3 linked regions of the Nothobranchius furzeri genome follow. The protein of the gene in region 2 purifies or fractionates together with the protein of the main gene of each other region. This does not show direct contact. Links are inferred from orthologs where the notes say so. Each region holds a gene or a part of one and is shown on either strand. Other genes may lie near its edges. The genes, in order: BTB/POZ domain-containing protein 2, cops3 and cul2.

Region 1 (3,832 bases), on a different chromosome or scaffold from region 2:
TTGGTCCCATAATGAGAATCTGGACCCTGTGACGCACAGAAAAAAAAAGGATGAACACACACATTCTGGCTCCCTTTAATTAGCTCTCAGGAGTCACACACCTTAAGTGTAGCACAGGCGGTGTAGTTGACGTTAGGTAGAATCTCCACTGGTTCCTTGAACATGACCCTGAAGGTGTTTGCCGAACCGTCGCAGCTGAAGCCCGTGTCGTTCTGCCCCAGCACCGTGTTACTGTCTGTGTGAATTATCTACAACACGTGCAAATGTCACAAACACGATGAAAACACTCCAAATGATCAGAAACAACTTAATACTGGAGCAGTGCTTGGAGTGGTACCTGTATGTTGACTTGGTAGTCTGTAGGTCCGTGTATGGAGCCGTAGAGGCCAAAGCCAACCACAAATATCCGTCTGTTAACAGAGAACCTGTGAAGAAAATTATCAGGAAAGTGTGACAGATGGAATTTAGTATTCAGAACTAGTCGTCTATAATAATCAACTCTTAGATAAAATTCAGTAACAACTAATAAATATCTTATTAAATCATTTGATGTATGTGGTACACTGTTTGAGCTAAAAACACATACAAGTTAAATGTATTGGTAACACAGATAACCCCTGGCCCTTTGTCCCAACCTTAAGATCAATAGTTAACAATATCGGGAATGTAAATGAAGGATTACTTAGTTTATTAATACTTTATAATGCATTAAGTAGTATTAGTAAAAGAGACTAAACTTCGGGATTCTTACCGTATGCGGTCACTCGTTCCGCTGTAGCCCCAGCGACTCTCCACCTGCCCAAATCGGGTGATGCTGCACTCCTTCCCTCGGAGGCAGCAGCGAGGACGGTCGATGAAATCCACACGAGGTTTTGGGTTCACTGTGAAGTGGAGGAAGAGGCTCACCACCTCTCTGTCCGTCAGAATACTGGACTGGGCCGGACCTGAAGGATAGGACCCAAAGACGAAGATTAAATTCAGAATCACAGCATCTATGCATGTCTAAAACAGAGGAAAAACACGTAGCTTGTTCATCCTTACCTGCAGCAAACTCCTCAATGGTCATGAGAGGGAAGCGGATCAGAGTGAGAGCTTTTCCCAGGGCTTTACGCATGTTCTCGGGCGTCGGCTGCAGCTGCTGCCTGCGGGCCTCAGCCTCAGCCCAACGGACAGCCGCTCCAAACAAACGCACCTCTCTGACTCCGAGAGTGTCCCTCTCCAGCACCGCCACCAGCGTATCTAAACAGAAGCAAACAAATCATATTAAAAGTGTAATTCCACAATGTAGAAATGGCATGAATATGTACAGAGGCACTTTACCTAAATCGATGTCCGTGAATCCCTCGGCGGCGAGAGCATCTCCGGTGTTCTTGTCGATGTTTTCCAAACAGAGGCTGGCTAGCTGAGGCTCATCGAACAAACGCGCCTGGAACAGAAATCACAACCTTGCTTTTACTCACAAATTATAAAAATAATAGAACACTCAAACATGAATTGAATAAATAATGATGAAGGAAACTGAGTTGATGGGAGCTGACCTGTGTGAGCAGCATGAAAGCATTGTCTGCTCTCAGGTTCTTCTTAAGGAAATCCACACAGTGAGCCTCCAGGGCTGGAACTGCATACTTCTTAGCTGTATAGAGGGTGGTCATCACAGTCTCAGGCCCAATCTGGACTTCATCAGAGTACAAGAACCTGCAGGAAACCACACAAACTAGGGTTGGTTTGTGGGAATGTAAACTGTTACGCTGGACTGTCTGGTTCTTACTTCAGCAGGGCCAGAAAGGCAGCTGGCTCCACATCTGGAAGCTCAATTTCCGTGGAGGTGGTGGCCATCCCTCCGTTGAACATGGCATCAAACACTGCGCTCCCCACAGCCAGAACAAACCTAAAACAAAGAGAGAGGGGGCTGTCAGATCTTTGTTTAAACGTCAGAGCAGGCTCATGTTGGAGGTAATTACCTGTGAGCTGGTATTCTCTGAACACCCATCCCTTTGCCAACCAAGAAATGAACGTCACTGAGCACCTCGTTGTTAAAGAGAAACGCAAACCTCTCCTTTACGGTGCTCTTTGTTGCCTGCCAGTTGTACACCGGCTCTCGGTAGACCAGCACAGACGCAGCAGCCGGAGTGGAGGTGGGCGCTGTCGCCGGGTTGGCGTTTGACGCAGCGGTGGTCATCATGTTGGACGCCGGGGAGGCCATTGCTCCGGCTGCCGCAGCACCTGCCGCAGCCGCAGCGGGCGACTGCAAAGGGTTCTGCGCAGTCGGCGGAGCTCCGCTCGACACACCGCTGCTGTCTCCCCCGGCAGGCCCCAGCTGCGGGTTGGACCGCCTCGCTGCTCCCTGTGCACCTCCAGCTGCACCGCCTGCTCCTCCGTTGAATGCTGGCATTGAGAAAACGCTGTTGCTGGGCTGGCTGTTTCCCAAAGGACCCGGGCCGGAGAAACTGAGGCAAGGAGGCCTGCCGCTGTTGTCTCCAGCGGACATCTTCAACCTGGCGTAGGCGTCAACAACAAACTTCATCGCTTTCTTCATTTCATGTAGTCTAAAGGGTCACGTCTGCCTTTTGTTTCCCTCTAGCGGCCACGGTGGGTACTACAATCTGCTGTCCTCAATGGGTTAAACTAAAAAACTTATAATTCACTTTTTTCTTTTCTTAAACAACATTAAAAAGTTAAAACATCAGACCAAAAAAATTTTAGGCTGAATTTTAATAAAGCACATATGGAAAAAAAACATCTGATATTTCCCCTTTGAGAATATTCAGCCTCCTTATCAAAATAAAACTTTTAAAAAAATGAACCTCTATTTTGTAGCTAACTGCTAATGGCTCCAATTGTAGCTGGTTGATTTGATCTTGTTGAACACAGATTATTAAAGTAGAGTTGTTGATTTTTAGTAGTTAAGTAGGTTGTAGTGAGGACTTTCTGGCATTATTTAGACCAGTGGTTGTCAATCCTGGTCCTGGAGCACCTGTATCCAGCACGTTTTAGTTGTTTCTCTGCAACAACACTTGATTCAGCGGTTGAATCCCCTGTGCAGCAGCTTATGAAGCTCTGCAGAAGCCTGTTAATTAACTGCTGATTGAAATCAGGTGTATGGGAAAAATGTTAACACTAAAATATGCTGGATACTGGTCCTCCAGGACCAGGATTGGGTACCACTGATTCAGACTTAATTATGCTGTTAACACTAATTTCAAACCTGCAGTCATTTTAAGTGGTATAGTTTATTTTGAAGGAATCCACAGGAAACGCTCTTGAGTTTTCTCGTGATTAGCAATATGAACATTGCCTGTAGAGACAGTTTTGCTCCAGCAGATAGCAGGAAAAATCTTTAATCTCGAAAGCTAGAGGATTGAGTTTATGTTTATGTTTTTACACATAGTACAGTTGTTAACCTATAGGGCATGTTAATGAGTTATTGTGTTTCCATCGAACTGACCTAAATAAAACAAATACATCCCTTATAGACAGAGTGGGCATCAGTCAAACCAAATTTCAGATTGCAAGTAATTACGTTAAAAGTTTATTAGTTAAAGGCATACTATGCAACTTAATATTTTTAAATCATTTTCTTGAGCCAATATGTACTAAAATGACCCTACGGGGTTAATGAAATGTCACCCTCTGTGACCAAAATACCACACATGCAACTTTAGAGTGCCAGTCCGGTCCGGTTGGACTTACTAAAGTGGAGTTGACACACCTGACGTTGCAGTCTGCTTCCAGCATGTTTCCTGCATCTTTTAGTTAGTTTTTTTAGTGAGTTGTTATTTTGTTTGATTTAGTGATTAAATGGTCTGCATTTGTATAACGCCTTCTTAGGGTT
Region 2 (3,732 bases):
ACGCGCGCACACACACACACACACACACACACACACAGTGGACTGTATATTCACCAACGTTCTGCGTTCCTTCTGGTGGTGTTTGAAAACGGCGTTTATTTGAGGAATTATATCACTTAATGCAGGGTGACCACATTTCCATTTCCGAAAAAGAGGACCGGGGATGGTGCCTACCGATGACATCACACTATGGCAACGCCATCCATGATCTGCGGTGTTAGGTCTGCAAGGCAGCCGAGTGGACGAAACATCACCATGGCAACGCTTCTGGCTTCGGAGACAACCACATTTCTTTTAATTATATAGATTGTAAGAAAACTATATACAGATTCACATTTGAGCCTAAATCTCATATGCACCAGCTGGGATTTGAACCATAAGTAGGGAGTCTTACTGGTGGAGCTATCCATTTGACATTTGAACATTGACAAGACTCCTCAGAGGCTGAGGGGGCAGACAGGAGTGGAGGTTGTGCTCCACCCAGTGGGTTGTGATGTCACAAATCTGCTAATTAATTATACCAAGGTGGAGCAGGTCACCAAATTCAAACTGTTGGGTGTTAGAGTAGACGACTTATTATCCTGGTTGGATCACGTTGACCACAGAGTCAGTACGATGGGCCGAGGAATCTTTGTGAAGAAAGTGCTCTGCATGTTGTTCTACCGCTGTACTGAAACATGTTGTTCAAAGTCTTGATTGATCTCATTTACAGTACCGTACAGTCGTTTGGTCCAGAAACAAACTGCTAATGGCTCAGAACAGAGCAGGCAGAGTCGTTTTGAACGGTCCTCTTCGAACCAATGTGCACCAGATGCATTTTGAGTTGTCATGGTTAACTGTGGAGGCTATAGTCTTCTGATGTTTGTGCAAAAAGTTATGACTAATAATATTCATCATCATATGAAAGACGAAATATTACTTAGTGGATATGGCCATGAGCACATAACACTCAAGCAATAACATGGTGATAGTGTCAAGACCTAGAAGTCATTTCATGAGGAAAGCCGTTCTCTATAGAGGGACTGTTGAGTGGAATACGCCACCAGGTTTCGTTAGGGAAATCCAAAATCAAGCTCTTTTAAGAAAAACATTAAAAAAAAAGGCTTAAGGCACTTTCTGTTATTGTTTTGTTCTCGTAGCTGTGATGGAACGAGAAGAAAGGTATTTTCAGATGGCTCTGCAAGTTAAGGGGGATCTTTTCGATGGCACTGGTTGGCCACTACAGCTTTTAAAATCCTAATGTAATCATTTATAATGTTTTAATCATTTGAATTGTTAAATGTATTTTGTATTTTGAAAATGGACCCCAGGAAGATTAGCAACCACTGCTGTGGAAGCTAATGGGGATCCAAACAGCACAATAACCCTCCAACCCTCAATGCCTCCCCCTATCCACACGGAGGTGACATGCGCTGCTTATCGTGGCTGCAGGAACTGAAGTGGGGATAGTCCCAACCCACCACCCCACCTAGTGGACACTTATGTTGTGTTGTCTGAAGTCTGTTGCATATCTGTCTGAGGTGTTTTTTTGCAGAGCAACGCTGCCCTCCCGGTGGAGGGTAACTCTGAAGTGCCTTTTTTCCCTCCACCTGAACCAATCCTCATGTTACCCTCTTGTCTCTATTAAGGTAGCGCGACTCGGGTTGCGAATGACCACAGTCACCAATTCTTGTCACGTGTCTTGCCCATGTATGTCTGATCTCTGAATTGTGTGTACTGAAACTCTAATTTCCCTCTGGGATTAATAAAGTATATTTGATGGATTTGATTTGATAAACAAACAAACCCAGACAGTTTTAGGCCACATGTTTTCATCTGCTACGGATTCACAGCATTTTTAACGCAGAAAGGCAATCTTGAGCTTAAGCTTCTTTAGATGTGTCATGTAGCATAAGACCACGTCTCAAGAACATGTTAAAAACAGAAAAAAACACAATTATTTTCATTGGAGTGGGTCTTTGAAAAAGAAAAGCAGGTACGTGTAGCTGCACAGCACGCTAGAACCAAAGTATTTTCTTTGTCTTACCAAAGGGTCAGGGCACATTTAAAGCCCTGTGAGATTCTAACTCCAGAGCCACAAAAGTTCAGAAAAACACCCGACTGCTCCAGTTCAAGGAACAAACTAATGCAGATGGAGCCGAGCACTGATGTATTCTAGTTTAAGATGCAGGACCTGGTAGAAATAAACAGGATGTTGTAGAACTTTCAGTAAATTTAACATTTTTATGGTGGAAGACATGAAGTCAAATAGACACATCTGAAGGAGAAAACTTGTTTTTTGAATAAATAATTAAACTTTGATATTTAAAAGCACAAAAACAAGCATAAGGACAGTAAAGATGGTCCCAGTTGGCCAATCAGATGCATACAGCATTCATATCACTGTGGGTAGAAGACAGATAAGGGTAACAGCTGATGGGTGGTACCTTGATGAACCTCGCTACGATCTGTGAGGTGTATTTGGGCAGCTGCTGCACTTTGCCATGGAGGATGAGCGACACCAGGATGTATTTCTTATAAGCTTCCAACATGATGTGGCTCACTGCCATGGCTGGAGTGGTTATTGCCTGTCAGTGAAAGTGCAGAGGAGAGAACACAGCTCCAGGTGACAGATTCTGAAAAGGCTGCTAAATCGAGCTCAGACACTAAAGAAAAAGGTACCTGTTCATAAAAATACAGTGCTCTTTCAAAGTTTTTCAGGCCCGTGTAGATCATGCCACCATAGTAGTAGTAACATAAAAAGTGCTTTGCGTCATACGCGCCATTCTCCTTGCAGATGTCCATCATGTCCACCTCCAAGAAGGGCAGGGCGGGTTTGAAACACTTCGCTAACAAGCACAGCTGCAGGAGAGAGAGAGCAGAGTCGCTGAGGGGTGAGACGGGGGTCAGCTCTGCAGACTTAGACCAACAGGCGGCAGCGTCGAGGTGTTTAGTGATTAAAATGGTTACTCTTTTGCTCCCATATAAACCATAAAAACGACCATCGTCTGGTGAGCTTAGGATAACATAACAAAGTACTTCTGTCACATACAGTCTAAAGCACACCAACTGTCCAGCGTCGTGAAAACATGGCTGCTATGGAAGCCCGGAGGTCCAAATGTGATTTTTCAGGAGTGGTGATGTTTACAGCATCATCACCAGGCACCGACCCACAGAACAGCTAGGTCTGGATTAAAATAGAGATGTATTTTCTGACTTGTGTTACACACCACCAGTGTGTTTTGGCTTCATTCTGCCATCTTTACCAACGCTGACTTCTAAAGGCTAAATTCGAACATGCTCAAAGAGTAAAATATGAATGTTTTAAATAATAACACCATCTTTGTGATTGTAGCTGAAATCAAAATACAAAATATGTGAATAATTATCAGCAGCAGCATGATGTAGAAGCTCTGGGGCATCCAGAGTTCGAGTTCAATAGAAATGTCTTCAAATTTCTACAAAAACAAACATTAGATGCGAGACTGTTGGTGGTGTAAAGGCATTTAGAACAGTGTCTCATAAGCAGCACTGACATTTAGACAAGTGGAGCCATTTTCAGATGTGTCTTGGCTGTGCCCTAGCCTAGCTGTTAGCTCATCAGTCCTAAAGGACACAAGCTCTGTTTCTCCAAACTGAAGCCATGAGACAATACGTCATTTTGATGCAGAAACACACTTCAAAATGGCAAAAATCCCTTCAACAACACGTCCCATAGTGACACATTTGTAGCAGAGCGAGTCTCACCTGACA
Region 3 (3,600 bases), on a different chromosome or scaffold from region 2:
CTCCTCACTGTCCCTAAGACGCGTTTGAGGACTCGCGGGGAAAGGGCTTTTTTGTATCTGTGCCCCAAAATTTTGGAATTCACTACCCCTTCCGGTTAGACGAGCACCCTCGCTTCCCATCTTTAAATCGAGGCTGAAAATGCATTACTTCTCCATGGCCTTCGATTCTTAGCATCAACAGTTTGTCATACCTCCTTCTACTGTGGTTTTTCCCATCTTAAATCTGTGGTCTGACTACTTTTAATCATTTTTTGTTTTTATTGTTTTTGTTTGAAACGGTTCTTCGTTGTATTTTTTTTTTATTAATTTTATGACTCGACTATTTTATCCTTTTATTGTTTTATTTTGTACAACGCTTTGGTTGATTGTAATGCCATATTGAAAGCGCTTTTATAAATAAAATGGTGTGGTGTTGGTTCCACCACTATGTATGTTACGTTATTTAACAAAAATTAATGTGGTTGACAAATATAACTTTTGAGGTCAAATACAGTATGGATAATTTACATGCAGCAAAAATTTTAAGACCCAGTTGTCAAAATTCAAGACTTAAGGTGTGATTTCCAAATTCCTAAATTCAATGCTTTTAAGACTTTTAAAGACCCCGCGGGAACCCTGAGAACAGAATCAATCTGCTCTCCCTGACAGAGGTCAACACCCGTGTCAAGTCACAACTTCCCGTAAAAATGTGCTGGAAAATGATGGTGCAGATTCAAAGTCATCAGATCAGGGGCATTTGTTTACATCCGGAACTAGGAAGCTTCAGTTTGTTCTCCAACTGTATAATGCTTCTGCTCAGATAGAACAGTGTAGTGAAGGCTACTCTTTAGTAACATTATAAATAAATCTAATAATAAATAATAAATGAACCTCATGACTCTCTCATATCAATGAGATCAAAAGCCTGGGTGTTACCTGTACAAGCAGTCCATGTAGTCGGCTCCTTTACTGTACTCCTCCCAGTACATGTGGTACATAACTAAAACCTTCTCCTCCGATTCCAGAACTTTCTAAAAAACATAAACAGGTAGAGCAGCTGTTATAGACTGCTAAGTTCAACAGGAATGCAAGAATTGTATTTTAACGCTCACCTTGTACAGCTGCCTAACGTGGTTCTCAAGAAAAATTTTGGTCTCTGTGTATAACTTCTCCCCTAAAGGCTCAGGGTACGCAACACACAAGGCATAAATGTCACTAATGTTACAGTCAAGGGTTAGAACGAAGAGTTTGCACTAATACAAACATAAACACAGTGTAGTAAAGTACTTTACCGTACATGTTTACAATCCAAAATATAGACACATTAAATGGCTTCTCTGAAACTAGGATACGAGAATCGATCGTTCCACGTGGCTCGTTCCACGTAGTCGAGCATCACGACAGCCTTGATTGTAGTCAGTAACTTGTTCCATGTCTCATCGAAATCCACCACCCGTGGCTTTAAAGACATTGTAGATTTCCTCTTTTATCCTACAGAAGAATAAAAATAGTGAATACGTTGTTACGGGTGAATATTTAATATTTTGAAGAATCTGTATTTTATCATGTTTTTTCTGGTAATACCATTTCTTTCACCAATCTAATAATGTAATACGTCCTTATTAAACAGAATACAAGTGATGAAATCAAAAGGAAAGCGTTGAATAGTGACATCAATGAAGAAAACCAATGAATGTTTTTAAATGGATATCTTTGCTCCACTAATGACATCAATGACGTTGCAATAAACTATACACCTCTAAACCAGTGGCATAAAAACAGCATTAGATATAGCTGCTCACATATAGCTGCTTGTGATAGTAAGATTAGATACACAATGTACAAAGACAACGTTCATTGGGACAAAACACACCGGACACACGGTCTGGTGTGTCCGCGTTGCGATCATAACTGACAATAACTGACATGAACTTTCATTTTGCTTTCACTGAAGTCATTTATTAAATCAAGTAAAGAAACGTAGGCCCTGTGTTCTTGTGTCAGTTGAATAAACGTCACACAATATCACTGAAACACTTTGACAGTTTTAGTCGTTGCAGCCGGTTTCATTCATACACGTACGCGTCTCTCCTGAAGGAAGGATCGGTGCTAAACACACCTCTTTACAGTCCCGATAAACGAAGCTAAGTAAAGGTGACTGGCTAGCGGCATGCCAATCCCAAAATAGGATTCAATGCTAAAAGGCTAACTAGCTTCATGCTAGCATGCTAAGCTACTTCTTCCCGTTTGAATAGCATACAATCTGATGGAAACAGTTAGCGTTCCGTGTGATAGCAGCTAGCTAATGGCAGCTCAGCTATCGCTAGCAAGTCATCTCAGTAGTTTCTCCACAATCACACTGACACCTCCACAAAACATGGCACTGCTGTCAAACAAACCAAATCACCCGAGTTAAGCAGGGACTCTTACATACTACATACCTCTGTGTAATATGTAGTTGTTAAAAACCCAGTTAGTATTCTCCGCTGTCACGGGTTTGATTTGTTTTACAGGTCTTCCCTAGTATTCTTCTTCTTCTATGGTTTTAATGACAGATTAAAATGCCAGTTTCTGAATGCTGCCACCTACCGTATCGGAACGTGCAAGGGTACATTTGAATAAATAAATAAATATTTTCAGTTTGCATTTGATTTTTTTGTTTTAACAAGTTTGAAGAAAATAGTGTCAAATATTAATCAAACAATTTGCCCTTTCTTGTCTATTCCATTGCTGTCTATGTCAATTTTTTTCTCGAAAGACATTGTTTCATTTGTAAAAGAGTTCACCACTAATTGGCAACTTTGACACTAAAATATTGGAATGCATTCCAGTCAGCAACATTATCTCACATTAAAAGTCAAGCAGATGATGATTCTCCAATCACACAAACATGTTACTTCTTCCTTTGGTAGATTTGTTTCATATTTCATGCAAGTTGTGATTTTAACTGGTGAGGTGTCCGGGTGTGTGCTGCACCCACCTCACATCTACTGAAGGATGCAGGTAGGTATCAGTTCCTAGCAACCATGGAAACAAGCAAAGACAGAAAATGAATAGATGGGAGTTTCGCTGTCATCGGTGATTTACCTTTGGGAATGACTGTTCTAGATGCGTCACATAATTGCGTGGACAACATCCATCCATCCATTCATCCATCCATAAACTGAACCACTTCTTCCTTAGTAGGGTCACAGGAAGCTGGTGCCTAATTCCAACTAAACAGTAATAGTTAAAATTAGCGTGGGACATGTTGGAAGGCCATTGCAACTTACAGTTGTGGTCAGAAGTTTACATACACTTGTAAAAAATATAATATAATGGCTCTACTGAGTGTCCCGTTATTTCTAAAACTCTGATTTTTCTCTTACCGAGGAACTGTGCTGCTCTGGGTGGCTGCATGTTGGAGTAGCTCTGTTGACTATATGTAAGTTTTGCCTTTTCTTGGACAGTTTTTCTTCTAGTTTCTCAAGAAAAACTGTATTTTTTGGACACTTTACTTTTCTGTTTCTGGTGCTGTGAAGCTTGGAGGATTTTTACTGCTATTTTTTAGCTTTCTTTACTTTTTGAGCATTTGTTATGATGCGTAACCATGGCAAAAAGCTGGCTTACAATCAGGAGCAG

The links.
Region 1: the proteins of cops3 (region 2) and BTB/POZ domain-containing protein 2 purify together in Homo sapiens (affinity purification with mass spectrometry; 3 studies listed by BioGRID and IntAct, counting the BioPlex papers as one, with this or other methods). This does not show direct contact. The link is inferred for Nothobranchius furzeri from reciprocal best matches to the Homo sapiens genes COPS3 and BTBD2.
Region 3: the proteins of cops3 (region 2) and cul2 purify together in Homo sapiens (affinity purification with mass spectrometry; 5 studies listed by BioGRID and IntAct, counting the BioPlex papers as one, with this or other methods). This does not show direct contact. The link is inferred for Nothobranchius furzeri from reciprocal best matches to the Homo sapiens genes COPS3 and CUL2.

What each region holds. Positions count from the first base shown.
Region 1 is NC_091751.1:57,998,937-58,002,768, forward strand, and holds the start of BTB/POZ domain-containing protein 2, read right to left. Parts: upstream 2,540-3,832; 5' UTR 2,537-2,539; coding exon 1,962-2,536; intron 1,889-1,961; coding exon 1,769-1,888; intron 1,696-1,768; coding exon 1,539-1,695; intron 1,427-1,538; coding exon 1,321-1,426; intron 1,240-1,320; coding exon 1,042-1,239; intron 945-1,041; coding exon 752-944; intron 426-751; coding exon 338-425; intron 249-337; coding exon 102-248; intron 27-101; coding exon 1-26.
Region 2 is NC_091756.1:24,217,684-24,221,415, forward strand, and holds part of cops3 (COP9 signalosome complex subunit 3), read right to left. Parts: coding exon 3,727-3,732; intron 2,842-3,726; coding exon 2,662-2,841; intron 2,568-2,661; coding exon 2,427-2,567; intron 1-2,426. UniProt on the Homo sapiens protein: Component of the COP9 signalosome complex (CSN), a complex involved in various cellular and developmental processes.
Region 3 is NC_091747.1:38,641,220-38,644,819, forward strand, and holds the start of cul2 (cullin-2), read right to left. Parts: upstream 2,554-3,600; 5' UTR 2,421-2,553; intron 1,471-2,420; 5' UTR 1,451-1,470; coding exon 1,332-1,450; intron 1,195-1,331; coding exon 1,092-1,194; intron 1,011-1,091; coding exon 916-1,010; intron 1-915.